Lepisosteus oculatus: one gene and its partner. The protein of the gene in region 1 interacts with the protein of each later gene in a pairwise test. Links are inferred from orthologs where the notes say so. Each region holds a gene or a part of one and is shown on either strand. Other genes may lie near its edges. The genes, in order: ipo13b and pax10.

Evidence for each region.
Region 2: the proteins of ipo13b (region 1) and pax10 interact in a two-hybrid assay, tested with the Homo sapiens proteins (2 studies listed by BioGRID and IntAct). The link is inferred for Lepisosteus oculatus from reciprocal best matches to the Homo sapiens genes IPO13 and PAX6.

Annotation. Positions count from the first base shown.
Region 1 is NC_090704.1:31,940,457-31,947,846, forward strand, and holds the start of ipo13b (importin-13), read left to right. Parts: upstream 1-4,318; 5' UTR 4,319-4,695; coding exon 4,696-4,761; intron 4,762-7,390. Other genes in the region: uncharacterized protein, read right to left, coding at 1-33. UniProt on the Homo sapiens protein: Functions in nuclear protein import as nuclear transport receptor. Serves as receptor for nuclear localization signals (NLS) in cargo substrates.
Region 2 is NC_090702.1:244,477-252,196, reverse strand, and holds the start of pax10 (paired box 10), read right to left. Parts: upstream 3,061-7,720; 5' UTR 2,980-3,060; intron 789-2,979; 5' UTR 726-788; coding exon 605-725; intron 1-604. UniProt on the Homo sapiens protein: Transcription factor with important functions in the development of the eye, nose, central nervous system and pancreas. Required for the differentiation of pancreatic islet alpha cells.

The DNA of each region.
Region 1 (7,390 bases):
ACCGCAGGTCGCGACGCTCGTTGTTCTCCACATAACTGTGTGTTGGGCTTTTTTAATGTCTTTGCAAGTTTTAATGTCCTGGGCAACACGCTTGCCTTTTGTTGTTGTTGCGTTTTTTTTTTTCGTTCCCCGTTTCCCGGGATGAAAGATGTAGTAGCCTTAGTTGTCAAAGGCCCTTTGAGCTATAAATAACTGCGGGAGAGAGCTAGGGAGCGTGTGTGAGAGATACAGAGGGAGGGGGCAGTGGTAAGAGATGTTTCCTCTCTCACCCTCTTCCCTGAGCTGCTGAGCCCCAAAGCAACGGATTTACAGCAGCGAGAAGTGCCACGTGTGTCGGCCGGCGCCTAGTGGAGTGTGCCGGTCACTGTAGACCGCAACACACAGCGACCGGTTTGAGGACGCTCTGAATGTGCCGAGAAGTTCTTCGTATAACTCCCAGCCCTTCTTTTTGCCTCGATTCCGGGATTTCACAGAAGGATCGGTGCAGCAGAGTGGTAAACGGAGTCCCGGGTCCCGCTCTGGGTCGCGCAAGCGGCTTGTTGTCCGGCTCCCTGCTGCCTGGCTGCTCGGTCCTACAGTAGTTCAGTCTGGCTGCGAGCGCTGAAATGAGACTTGGTTTTGCTCGCCCTCTTCTCGAGCAGCAGGCTGGCAGACACGCCTCGAGTGGCAGGCGATTGGCTCCTTAGAGTTTTTAAGGACGTTTACAACACTGCTTTTATCACCCCCCTCCACACACACACATACACAGCCTCCGCCTGCACAAGCCGCTCCCCTGCTAAACGCACGACGCGAAAGATCTCACAGAGGAGCGACCTCACTGTTCTGCTGTAGGTGCACCCTCTGGACGTGGATCCAGTCTGTTGCAGGGCTGTGGGGGTTAGTGATGGCGAGGTAGGCGAATTTCAGGCGTGGGCAGGGCTGACTGGTCATATCGGTCTAGCCTCCACGACTGGCCGTGTCATTCGGGGATCGTTTTGATTTGTAGTTTCTGGTTCAATCGCCTCGTTGCATTAAACACAACCAGGGGACTCCACAGCCTCAGTGACGTGCTGACTCCAATCTAGGTATCGCTGCAATACAGATACAATGTCTTTCATTCTTCTTTGGGGTACTTTTGGCCAGAGCTTTAACGACGTGTTTGCGAGCATTAAAAGAACTGAGAGTACAAGGTTTCCTGCGTAGCAAATGTGTACATCACAGGCCGTCTGCCCATTTCAGCGCGCTGGTAAACACGCGTGGTTACCAGTCCTCCGCTCTGAGAAGTGTTCTGGGGGCGGCCGGTCCGTGGGGGTTACCTTCAGCCCCGTACTGTGCGCATCACTCTGGGTGACAGGCGCTCTGCCTTGAAAGTTTGTTCTCGAGGTTACTTTCTTTAAAATGGTCTCTAAAACTAAAGGAGCACTTTAACTAAAGGGGCAGTTTTGATTTTGTTTCCATAGGCGGCATTAGTAAAAAAGAAAAAAGCATGTGCAGCAGAATGGGAAAACAAACCCCCAGACACCCTGAAAAAAACGGTTTTTGGGACAGATGACACTTATCCGCTAAGGAGAGACAACAGCGGAAGCAGAGACGGACCAATACGCTGCCCCGCAGCGCGACAGATCCACACCCAGCACAAAGAGCGTTTTCCCGCAGAGACGCACCTGTCACTGTTATTGACCAGAAACCCACAGAGCTACAGGCCAGCGGCTGAACGCGTTCTAGAATCACAGTCCCGCCCCTGTAGGGCAGACACGTAAATGACTAGGCTTTAAGAACATGTATATTTTAATATCTTCACAGCCGGATATATTTAATTGTATGCAGTGTTAACGAGCTGTTTTGACACCGGCATTTCTTTACATTACCTACCCCACCGTGCCTTGAGCCTGCCTTGTCTGGTACTGGAGAAAACGAAACAACACATTTAAAATCACGACTTATCAGTAATAATGTGAGACGGTTTATTTATTTATGATGATGATGATGATAATGATGATGAAAAACAGAAGGTAACATGTATTGAAAGTATTTTCTAAACTGTGAGGAACCTGTATTTTGACATCAGAAGTATGTGTTTTCTCTCACCAGTTGCTGAATCACATCAGCTGTAAATGACGTCAGTCACCCCAAAATCAGCTGCTCCTGTTTCCATGACACGCGGTTTCCAGAGCAACCCTCGACTGCACTTGTACCCTGGCACCGCTAGAGGTCGCTGCATTCACTCTTCTTAGGAATAGCTGCTGCAGCGTGCGGACTACGGCTGGTATTGCAGATCAACCGCTCAGACAATTACGGCAGCGATGGGTGTCAAACATACGCCAATATATCGAGCAGTGCATTTTACTGTACAGTCTTTTTCTTTTTATAAAGTATTCCTAGTGTAGTAGTAATCATCATCATCATTCTGTCAGTTAATGTTTTTGTTTTTCTTATTAATTTAACCAACGTTAAGAATATACGTTAAGAACATGTGAACAGAAGAGAAATGACAACCCTAAATCTATCTTTTCGGGCAGCTTGTTCCAGACCCCTGATGCTCTTGTGTAAGGAAATGTAAGGAAATCACGGGTGTGTCCTGGGTTGACCTTTTCAACTCCTGCTTTGGTCTGTATTCTGGCCTGCTGCACACTGGCCACAATACTCTTCTATGGAGCCGCCTGCTCTGGAGTTCTGTCTTCAGAGCTTAAAACTGCTGCTGTCACACTAGTGAAAAAAAAAAAACGAACCAACCAAACGGTATGTGAAGTAATTACAGGCTTACTTCAAACCATTTGTCATCGAAAAGAACGAATTCTCGGGTGGTTTTTGTTTCACCCAAGACCTCAGCTGCGTGGTTAGGCTGATTATTAAATTCGCTGCCTAATTGTAATACTTCTAACACCGATTTGAGGTAACAGTACCTCTAAGAAAACTGGACATATTTTAATTCAGAAAATAATTGTTTTTTTTTAATAAGTGTTTAATAATTGACTACTCATGTTGAAACGAAAACCAGAAGACACAAGGCTCTCCAAGTAACTGAGTTTGCGACCTCTGGTCTGAAACAGTACGGCACTCCGTCCAGCGCGACTGTATCGGCTGTGGTTTGCCAGTAGGGGACATTGTTACACTAGAATATCCCATTTTGTTAAACTCCACCCCTCCCACCCGCAAGGAGAGAAAAATACATTTTCCACAATGCACCGCGGGGGACCTATCTTTATATAAATGACCGTAGCGTGCCTGATCAAAAAGAGAAATTAAATAGCGGGAAGACCGCAAGGGAAAAGGAAAACGCAGCGGGGCTCATTCTCCACCCCCCCCATTTGAATTATTTTAATGTACACTATGGCATTATTGCTGACATTTTGCTTGTTTCCTGTCATACAGCGCGTGATTTCGCATGTTGAATCCCCCCTCTCCCTCCTGTCTGATGGAGTCCGAGGCAGCAGCGTCATTCCGGATGAGGACCCAGCGAGGCTGGCTGAGTGTGCTCTTGCTGCAGTGAAGCAGCGGCGTGTCTGACAGTGACGAGACGGAATTTGTACAAATATCCATATATCAGTGCTCGCACGTATGTAGTGTAAGCTGCATATCCAGCTGTAGTTCTGTACCTTAAGTTATGGCATGACGGACCGCCTTAGTCACGGAGTAGCTAGCGTTATCGTGTTTCCCACCAGTAGCATCTTCGTATACTGATGGTTGATGCATTTTTTTAAAAAATAAGGCTGGCTTTTCGATGCCGATGTGAGAGGAACGCTGAGTGGCATCATGGACATCGGAGCGGAGTAGCTCAGGCGCTCAGCTGCTGTCTCTGAGGAGCTCCGGCGACCGGGAGCAGGCAGGGGCTGTTTTTTTAACGCCTCCCGAATCGCAGGGGGGACGAAAATTCAGGGAGAGAGGGCGGGTGTACCGTTTCTGAAAGGGTTGCAGGGAGGCGAGGAGTCGTTGATTTTGTTTTATCTGTTCGGAAAACACGCTTAGTCCAGAGGTCTGGGGCGTAGGGTAGCTTGAAGGAGAGATCGGACTAGTGCCCCGCCGGTCATTCCCGCTTCACCAGAGGCGGCGATCACAGGGGCAGTAGTTGTATTTCTCCGGACGTTCCCCAAACCACCTGTCCTGTCCGACAGTCGGCTTTCTACCCCTGCCCGTTTCTCACTCGCATTGAGCAGGCATGGAGCCGGGCCGACCCGCTCACTCTCCCGATTCCCTGGAGTTCACGGTGGAGAACGTGGAAAAGGTGAGTCAAATTAAATTCCCCATCCCCACTCGTACCCGTGGTTGTCACGGTAATGCAGTTTTGCGGTAATCGTGGGAAAGGTGGTTTACGCTAGTAGTGGTATTTTAAGGGGCTCAGGCGCTCAGCTGCTGTCTCTGAGGAGCTCCGGCGACCGGGAGCAGGCAGGGGCTGTTTTTTTAACGCCTCCCGAATCGCAGGGGGGACGAAAATTCAGGGAGAGAGGGCGGGTGTACCGTTTCTGAAAGGGTTGCAGGGAGGCGAGGAGTCGTTGATTTTGTTTTATCTGTTCGGAAAACACGCTTAGTCCAGAGGTCTGGGGCGTAGGGTAGCTTGAAGGAGAGATCGGACTAGTGCCCCGCCGGTCATTCCCGCTTCACCAGAGGCGGCGATCACAGGGGCAGTAGTTGTATTTCTCCGGACGTTCCCCAAACCACCTGTCCTGTCCGACAGTCGGCTTTCTACCCCTGCCCGTTTCTCACTCGCATTGAGCAGGCATGGAGCCGGGCCGACCCGCTCACTCTCCCGATTCCCTGGAGTTCACGGTGGAGAACGTGGAAAAGGTGAGTCAAATTAAATTCCCCATCCCCACTCGTACCCGTGGTTGTCACGGTAATGCAGTTTTGCGGTAATCGTGGGAAAGGTGGTTTACGCTAGTAGTGGTATTTTAAGGGGGCAACACGCACGTAAGGTCTGGCTTTATCATCACTAGTGCCGCTGATATCGGGTATCAAGATGTCTGTTGCTATTTTTATGAGGTGAATGTTACTATTGGCAGGGCTGTTGTTTAGGCTGTGGGTGTTTGTGACAGTGTCAGCTCCCACCTCCCCCCCCCCCGGGGGCGTGGGGGTATTGGCTGCGCCGTGTCCGTGCGGAGACGGTGACACTGGAGCACAAACGCTGCGAGGCGGGGGGTGTCACATACCGCACGCACCTGGCAGCCGGCTCCTCTGCAGCTCTTCCACACCCGACACCTCAGCAGTGCGATCGGGCTGATCGATACTCCTGACAGCTGCAATGGACTTTGACGTCCCCGGGCACCAATGGGCTGTGGTGTGTGTTTCTAAGGTCCGGTCTGACCCGCTGTGCAGTGTGAGCGGTGTCTTGGTTGTGTTGTCAGGGAGCTCACAACGAAAGCTTGGGAGCGATGACAACAGCCACGTTAAGTCAGCCTCAGCCGCTCTAAAGCCTGATGATTCTTGACGTCGTTTCCTTTAAAAGGGGTAAATACTACACCTCTCTTCCAACCACTCCGTCAGCCCATCTCCAGCTGTTTAGCTGCCCCTTGTCCACCCCTCAATCTGCAGAGGGACCCCAGCCTCCCTGTGCTGTGGCCAGCGGGCAGGCCCACTGCCGAGAGAATTAAGATGAAAATTTACTGCGACTGAAACGCTCTGTACCCATTCTCAACACGCTTAAGCTCGGTTTGGGCTGAGTTTTAGTGATGGTCAGGTCAAACCTGCTGGGCTTCTGTCTGACAGCTCCACCTGGACAGTGTGGACGGAGAGTGAGGGCAGGGCGCTGTCAGGGCCCGCTGGACTCTTCTCTGCAGTCCGCATCATTCTGGTGTGTCTGGGCAAGCAAAGACCTGTAGCTCACAGGCTCCCAGTCAACAGCAGCTTGTGTCTAGAAGGGCAGATTTTAAAGAATGCTGGGCAGCTCTGTTGCTAAGTTACCTGCAGACTGCCCTGAGGTTTAGTTGGGTCCAGTTGGTCTTTCCCCCGTGTGTCAAATTTGTAGTGATGGCGAGGTGAGTAAGCAGCTGGAGTGGACAGATTTATTTGTATGACCGACCTGCCTGTAATCTTCAGTTTTGCCAATCTCTTTGCGGTACGGGGCCCTCCCAGTGCAGAGACAGTGGGAGTAAAAAAAAAAATCTCAAGTTTAAACCAGGGATGGCCACATTTGGCCCGTCAGAGATCGCACTCCAGCCGCTACAAAATGGCGGCTCAGTTTTCTGTCTCTGCCTCGTCAGCGGCTTGGACTGGAGGGGAGTCTATTCCTTGAGGACCGCAGGGCCTGCCTTTCCTGCTCCTCTCTGCCCAGGAGGTGTTTAACGAGCTGAATCCGTTATTGATTCACAGGTTCAAGCTTCCCCAGTATTTCCCGTACGGGAGCTCCAGCGATGACTTCCAGGTTTTGTGGTCAGCTGCGGACATTTTATCTAATAACGCTATAGTTCCTTTGGGATCTTTTTTTTTTTTTCCTCTGGATTCCATCAGGCAGTTGCGGTTTTCAGCTGTAGCGCTGATGTGATCAGTCAAAAGCCAGAACGCTGGAATTTGAGGGTGGCGTTCTGCATGATGGAGGCATCAAGTGTACCCACCTGACTTGTTAGCTGTTGTCAAGGGTGTGGGCTGTTGGGGCGGGTTGGCTGGACAAAGCTCTCATCCAGCGCTAGGCCTGCTGGCTCTTGTCCTCTCTGCTTTTGCTTACTAATGACTGGCCAATGATGGTTCTGGGCAGTGGTGTCAACATTCATACCAGAACCCAATTTTTTCCCCATCCAAGCTCATAGCCTACCTTCAGAGATCCATTAAGCCGTTTTTATGTCTACTGGAGGGAGTTCGGGATGAGTGATTTTTAGAATGGGATTTTTCCGTTATTAGTTGTGAGGTGATAAAGCAATAATGGGGGTTTGAAATGAACACTGTTCTGCACGTGCCGAAGCCAGAGAACGTGGGCAGGGTGAAGACTGCTGAAGAATCCTTTGTCTTTTCTCCTGCTGGGGGAGTCTGCTTCTTTTTTGTTTTTGTTTGCACAAGGCGCAGATAAGTGAGTCCGAAGCCGCTGGTTCTTCAGTTTTGTGATCGTCTAAGCCGGGGGTCATCAGTCCTGGTAAAGCACCGGCACCCGTTAAGAGCGGAGAGCAGGTGGGAAAGTGACCCAGTCTAGCCCGTGATGAGCCGATTCAGGTTGTTCAGGCCTCAGCTGTGCTACACACCTGTAGACAGGACGGCCCCGCGGGATTAGAAAGGGAAACCGCTGGTGTAAATCCCTGTGACTGGCCTGATTCTGGGTGGCCTTCTCTCCTGCGCTCAGCTCGGCTCTGGGAGCTGCAGGGCGCTCTGGGATTGCCTTCCTGCTGTAGTCATGGCCCTGCGCTGGGTGTGTGCGTGGGCTGGCGGGGGGATGGAGCGAATGATGAAATGGGCGCTGGGGCATTGCACTGCAGGGATGTTGTTGACGTGC
Region 2 (7,720 bases), on another chromosome or scaffold:
CAATCTTGCCCTGCGTCTTCGTGGCCCTGTGACCCTGTGACCCTATCAGCCGGCAGGCGGGAGAGAGCACCGCCGTCCCAGGCGCCCCGCGGTGTCGGGGTCGGGGTCAGAGTCGGGGTCAGAGCTGAGGTCAGGAGAAATAAGACACTTACAGGGAAGCGTATCTGTGAGAAGTGTGCAAGAGCTAGAAATACTAACATGTTCTGCAGGATCTGTACGATGATGCAGTGCTCAAAGCACAAGTGCTCCGGCCATGTGGGTCTCAGTTCGATCCCCTGCACTACTACTGACTACTGACTCAGTCTGCATCACTCTGCAAGAGTTAGTGAACCTCCTCCTGCTCTGTTCTCCAGACAAGACTGTAGCTGTAGTCACTGATGTTATATCTCACTCCTTAAAAGCCTCTGATGTCATAGTTCACTTCCCCAGCCTATGACGTCCTATTTCACCCATTCCTAACCTCTGATGCCATAGTTCATCCCTCCCAGTCTATGATGTCATAGTTCACCTCCCAGCCTATGATGTCATATCTCACTCCTTCAGACTCTGATGTCACAGTGCACTGCTCTGGTCCCTGTGTTTTCTATCAGAAAGCCACTCTTACCATTAGTGTGCTGTGTTGGCACAGTGCTGTCCTGGTGGTACCAGCTGGTGGGTCCACTCCAGTTAGACCCGCTCTGCAGATTGATCATGGCCAGCTTCTCATACATGCCCTCTATACCCATCGACCTCTGACCTGTCACCTCTCACCTACACCCTGACCTTCCACACTGGTCCAATGGCAGGAACTGCAAATGACAAGAGAGGAAGTGGCTGAGGAATATTGAACTCCACTATACCTGGAACAGGGATGTACAAGCCATTTCATTCAAATTTCACAGCACTCCTGACTGTACTGCAAAACAAAAGTTTCCGGATATCCCACTCGTGATGTCCAGGGCTAACTCCAGCAGTCCCAGCTGTCAGCCAGGATCCCGATCCCTGTCCTCCTCGGCCCCCTGCCTGCTGTCCCTGGAGGAAGAGGCCTGGAGTCCTAACCCTACCACCAGCTGCGGCCTGGACACAGCCCTGCCTGCACGGGCACGCTGGTGCCCTGGCCCACCGCTGTGGGGAAGGGGTCTGTGCTGCAGGGAGCTGGACACAGCCCTGCCTGCACTGGCACGCTGGTGCCCTGGCCCACCGCTGTGGGGAAGGGGTCTGTGCTGCAGGGAGCTGGACACAGCCCTGCCTGCACTGGCACGCTGGTGCCCTGGCACACCGCTGTGGGGAAGGGGTCTGTGCTGCAGGGAGCTGGACACAGCCCTGCCTGCACGGGCACGCTGGTGCCCTGGCCCACCGCTGTGGGGAAGGGTCTGTGCTGCAATCACACACAACAGCAGTTTACAGCGAGCGTTCGGGAGGCTTGACGGCAGCCGCGTTCAATCAGCCTCAGCTGTCCTGATTCGGAATCATTCGCGACGTCATTTCCTCGCGTTAAAAAAATAAATCCGATACGTCAGGCCTCTCCTCTCCCTCACACACGTCTCCTGCCCCCCTCCTCCTGCCCTCTGCTCCTCTGCAGCTGCCCCTGGGTCTCTCCTCCCTCCACAGGGGGTCCCAGCCTGCACTGCTCTGGCCAAATTAATTTACTGTGACTTAAACACCCAATTAACATTCCCAGTTAACATTTCCAGTCAACCTCAATCTGTACAGCAGATTTACCCACAGAGTTGAGTGAGAAAGCAGAAGAGCTGAGGAATACATGTACGACAATACAATGTACGACAAAAAATCAAACATAGATAAGCAGGTTAAAAAGACTGGCAAGATGATAAAAGACGGTATTCTTCAGTCTAGGTACAGAACCCGTTCCTGAAAGTGCATCTGTGACAAAGGAGGGAACACAATTCATCTCTCTCGCCAGCTCCCGTCATTTAAAGGTCTTCTCTAGGACCAGTGAAAACTGATTTAGTGCTCATACAGCCTTAGTGAAATAGTTAGGCGCCAGTCCATTTACTGACTTTTAATTTTAGCATTCAAATTTCAAAAAGCTATTTTGTAGGCAACTGGAAGCCAGTGTAGTGAGACCAGCGCAGAGGTTGGAGATGCAGTTTCTCTGTCCTAGTTAAAACCCCAGCAGCCGCAGTCCGGTACTCTGATCCAGAGGAAACATTCCCCTCAGCCAGGGAAAGAAAGGAGCTCATTTTCACTAGATCTGAGCATAAAATCAGGACAGTAAACCTCACATTTCTTTTCCTGGAGAAATGTAGTAAGACCTCTCTCTTATCGGAGCTCCATGGCGGAAATCTCTGGAATCCCATTTCCGACATCAGCGAGAGACTAAAGACACCGGACACTGGGGCTCTCAGGACCAGCTGGGATAAATCCCACTTCCACCAGCTTCCGAATAATCTTTGCACTTTGAGAAAGAAAGGACTGCAGCAGAGCTTCTGAGCTCGTGTGGCCTTCAGCAGTGACCCGGAATATCGGGAATGACGGTCTTCTGGAAATCAGAAGGCTCTCACCCAGCGGATCACACTGCTGGGATCCAGTCTGGCCTTACCGCTGTCCTAATGCCACACAGAACTGTAAGACAGTGTAGGAACGGCGGTGCGATGTGACTATCGGCAACAGCCCATCCCGGCAGCGGGGGATCAGGCGGCCGCAGACTCCTGCGATTTCCCTTCGCGGCGGCTTCAGAAATCCTTTATCGAGAGACAGGAATATTGCGCACGCCCAGCCTCCAGACCCTGCGCCTCAAACCAGCACCCACCCCCCTGGCTGCACTGAGCAGGACGCCCCACAGCGACGGTGGGGTAAACGAGGGGTAACGGGGCTCGGTCGGGGGGGGGGCGAAGGGGTCACCCCCCTAGCCCGAGCCCAGTGTTCCCCTCTCCCGGAGCTCCTGCCCTGCCCGGTCGGCAGCAGGGACGGCTCTGTCCCGCCTGCAGCCTGCGGACCACCGCGAGCTGGGGGTCCCTCTTCCCGCGCCAGACTTACCTGCAGCTGGGTGCCGAGTCCTCGTCGCAGGCAGCCTGGTCCGCGCTCTGCCGAGGAGACACTGGCGGGGCTGGGGGACGCAGGCGGAGGAGAGAGAGGCGGGAGGCGGGAGGCGGGAGGCGGGAGGCGGGAGGCGGGAGGCGTCTGCGGGCGCTCGTCGCTCCGAGCGATGGAAAAGGGAGCGCGGGGGGGGCGCGGGAGTGCAGTGACACATACGCTCAGTGTTAGTGTCATCTTTGAACTTAATGCTCCAGAATGGGCCGATCAGGAGGGAGAGGGAAGGAGGTCAGGCAGCCGGAATTACTTATGGAAGAGAAACAAAGGGGTGCGTTTCCGCAGAAAACGCCAGGCAGCTTCGAGACTCTGCTTCACAGCCCGCTTCCTCGCACCTGGAACCAGGCTGGCCTCTCACTCCTCTTGCTCCAGCTGTGTGTTGCCTTAGGGAAGCCAGCGGTTACAGAGTGAGGCCCTACAGCTGCTCCAGCGACACGAGGGCCCGGGCAAGGTGGTCTCCAGCACGTCCCCCGCTGGGCCTGTGAGGGGCACACGCCTCAGACACAGGTGAGAGGATCTACTGTGGATCTGGAAGGATCTACTGTGGATCTGCTACTGTAGACCCTTCCAGGACAGGCTGGCAAGAGCAGCTGTTGGAGTGAATCATGGGTATAAACATTCGTTATGTCTCACAGATGTACAGCAGATGTACAGCAGACAAAGATATAGCTGGAGACACAGACACTGACTTCAGAAAACACAACTGTCCTTCCCAGAAGTACAAGAGTTTCTCAGCAATGTGTGCATCTGGGGCTCCCTGGGGTGCAAAGCTCCTATTTCTCCCTTTTGCACAAAACCCTGGACACAAGGGGCAGAAAGGAGGGGCAGCTCTCTGCACTCCAGCTGGGTGACCACATCGCCTGGGATGCTGTATTTCCTGTACACGCTCTGACTCTTAACTTCATCCACAGAGATATTTCCTAAAGGGGCTCCCTGACACCCCCAAGTGTGGTCTGTGCCCTCCAGGCTTTTATATCTGGTGAATTAGGGTGTTTGGATTTTGGGGGTCAGTCTCTTTTCTCTGTGTCCGGTGTCCTCCATCGTCTCTCCTGCTGAGTGAGGGTATCTGTGTTGCAGACGCAGACTGCACTAACTGGCATTCCTGTTGATACAGGGATGCACTCGACTCAGACGGCCTCTGCACATCCTTCCCCAGAAGAAATGGGGAGAGGGCGGGGGGGTGGGGGAGAGGAGGAGAGTGTCAGTGCAGTTCACTTCCAGTTGAGAGGGTGATGCAGCCTGTCTCTGGTGGGTCTGTCACCTCCTTCACAGGAGCGAGAGGCTGGGACACAGAGACAGAAGGAGAGAGCGGAGCAGATGAAGGAGGAAGATGAAAGAGGTTTCACATGCAGTATGGAAGTATCTATTTCTGCTTTCTACGTGAATGGAGAACTAGAGATACAGAGTAAGACATTGGAAGACAAGGGGGACAAAGGCTAGAAAGAAGAGGGACAGTTCACAAATACACTGAGACACTCCCCAATGCTGAGACACACTTACACTGAGACACTCCCCAGTGCTGAGAGACACTGAGAGACACTGAGACACTCCACAGTGCTGAGAGACACTGAGAGACACTGAGACACTCCACAGTGCTGAGAGACACTGAGACACTCCCCAGTGCTGAGAGACACTGAGACACTCCACAGTGCTGAGAGACACTGAGACACTCCACAGTGCTGAGAGACACTGACACTGAGACACTCCCCAGTGCTGAGAGAGACTGACACTGAGACACTCCCCAGTGCTGAGAGACACTGAGACACTCCACAGTGCTGAGAGACACTGAGACACTCCACAGTGCTGAGAGACACTGACACTGAGACACTCCACAGTGCTGAGACACACTGAGACACTCCCCAGTGCTGAGAGACACTGACACTGAGACATTCCCCAGTGCTGAGAGACACTGAGACACTCCCCAGTGCTGAGAGACACTGACACTGAGACACTCCACAGTGCTGAGAGACACTGAGACACTCCACAGTGCTGAGACACACTGAGACACTCCCCAGTGCTGAGAGACACTGAGACACTCCCCAGTGCTGAGAGACACTGACACTGAGACACTCCCCAGTGCTGAGAGACACTGACACTGAGACACTCCACAGTGCTGAGAGACACTGAGACACTCCCCAGTGCTGAGAGACACTGACACTGAGACACTCCACAGTGCTGAGACACACTGAGACACTCCCCAGTGCTGAGAGACACTGAGACATTCACGTGTCATTGTGTATCTCAGTGTGAGTATCTCACTGTGTGAATGTCAGCGTGTGTCTCCCAGTTTGTGTGTTAGTGTGACTCTCAGTGTGTGTGTGTGTCTCCCAGTGTGTACCTCCCAGTGTGTGTATTGTGTGTGGATCTCACTGTCCGTTTCTCAGTGCGTGTGTCAGTACGGTCAGTGTTTGTATTTCAGTGTGTGTACCTCACTGTATCCCAGTGTGTCTCTCAGTGTGTGTGTGTCAGCATGTGAGTCTGTTTGTGTCAGTGTGTGATTCAGTGTGTTTCAGTGTGTATGTGTATTAGTGTGTGTCAGTTTGTGTGTCTATGTGTATCAGTGTGTGTGTGTTTCAGTGTCTATGTGTATCAGTGTGTGTGTCAGTTTATGTATTCGTGTGTGTGTCTATGTGAATCAGTGTGAGTGTGTGTATCTATTTGTGAGAGTGTGTTTCAGTGTCTATGTGTGTGTGTGTGTCAGTGTGTGTGCCAGTTTATGTATTGGTGTGTGTGTCAGTTTATGTATTAGTGTGTGTGTCAGTGTGTGTGTAAGTTTATGTATCAGTGTGTGTGTAAGTTTATGTATCAGAGTGTGTGTCAGTGTGTGTGTCAGTGTGTGTATTAGTGTGTGTGTGTCAGTGTGTGTATTAGTGCGTGTATCAGTGTGTGTCAGTGTGTGTATTAGTGTGTGTATTAGTGTGTGTGTCAGTGTGTGTGTCAGTGTGTGTATCAGTGCGTGTATCAGTGTGTGTCAGTGTGTGTCAGTGTGTGTGTCAGTGTGTGTGTCAGTGTGTGTCAGTGTGTGTGTCAGTGTGTGTGTAAGTTTATGTATCAGAGTGTGTGTCAGTGTGTGTATCAGTGCGTGTATCAGTGTGTGTGTCAGTGCGTGTATCAGTGCGTGTGTCAGTGTGTGTGTCAGTGTGTGTATCAGTGTGTGTCAGTGTGTATCAGTGCGTGTATCAGTGTGTGTGTCAGTGCGTGTATCAGTGCGTGTGTCAGTGCGTGTGTCAGTGTGTGTGTCAGTGTGTGTGTCAGTGTGTGTGTCAGTGTGTGTCAGTGTGTGTGTCAGTGTGTGTGTCAGTGTGTGTTTACAGAGAAGAGATCTCCTCCCTCAGGGTCTGTTCTTTCCCTCCTCTCAGGTCAGCCTGTCATGTTGTTTCTCTCCCTCTCTCTCTCCTCTTGCTATCTCTCTCTCTCTCCTCTTCTCTCCCTCTCCTCTCTTCCCTCTCTCGTCTCTCCTCTCTCTCCTGCTGCTGAGGGGGCCGAGGTGACACTGGGTGGGGGGGGGTGATTTCTGAGGAGAGAAGAATTTGGAGTGGGGGGGGGTGCTGGAGAAGAGGTCTCCATGGCAACACTGCCGGGACAAATCTCTGTCACCCTAATCAAGTCAGAGGGAAAAATAAAAGCCGAAACTTTAGAGGCTTCTTCACTCGTACTCCGAAAGAGCCGTTCACTCTAGTACAGCTCTCTACCTGCGCAGGCTGGAAATATCTCAGTGAAGACCCAGGACTTCAGGTCCGGCGGCTCTCTTTGTACCATCTCACCCCACTGGACACCCCGGGGCAGGAGCTCGGCTCAGGCGGGCTCACCCCACTGGAGCAGGAGGCACACCCGAGCTCCACCAGCGTCAGCCATCTCCTCTCCTCGTCTGGGAGGCGCGGAGAGCGAGGCCCTTTCTGTCCCCTCGTACAGGTGGCACGGCTCTCCTGCTCAGCGCTGTGGCCAGCATCCTGGCTGCTCCTCCCCGATACTCTTCCAGTGCCGAGTGAGAAAAACAGGAACAGGCTTCTAAGTAGCACGGCCCCCCTCCCCCCTGCCCCCTGCCCCCCTGCTCTCTCTCTCCCCCCCTCGCGGTGCCGCGCGTAGCCCCGGGCGATGTGGTGACGCGGCCGCGCTCTCTCTCCGCGGCGCTCGGGCTGCTGTCGGCTCGCATCGGTCAGCGCAGTCCCAGACGCGGCCGGCGGCGCGGAGAGGGAGCGGGGGGGTGGAGGGGGGCTGGGGAGGGAGAGACGAGAGTCTGTCGGGAGCTCTGTGTGTCTGTCCGCGGGATGCCTGCTGGGACACACCTGCAGGAGGTGAGCTCGGGCCGGAGCGAGGAGGAACCTGTTGGCTGCAGGCGGTGTGCTCATGGACTGCGCACAGGGAGAGACAGGACGTTTCTCATCTCAACACAGGATCCTGGTGCTCTCTGAGACACAGCTTCTATCCGCACTGTCACACTGACACAGTGTCACAGACCGGCCCTCTGACAAAGAATAAGGCACCAGCGCGAGACAGCAGCTTCCAGTGATTCATATGAGAGGATACAAAGTGCAGCACAGCCCACAGTCCCTATACTGTTAGAATATACACAGTACAGCCCACAGTCCCTATACTGTTAGAATATACACAGTACAGCCCACAGTCCCTATACTGTTAGAATATACACAGTGCAGCACAGCCCACAGTCCCTATACTGTTAGAATAT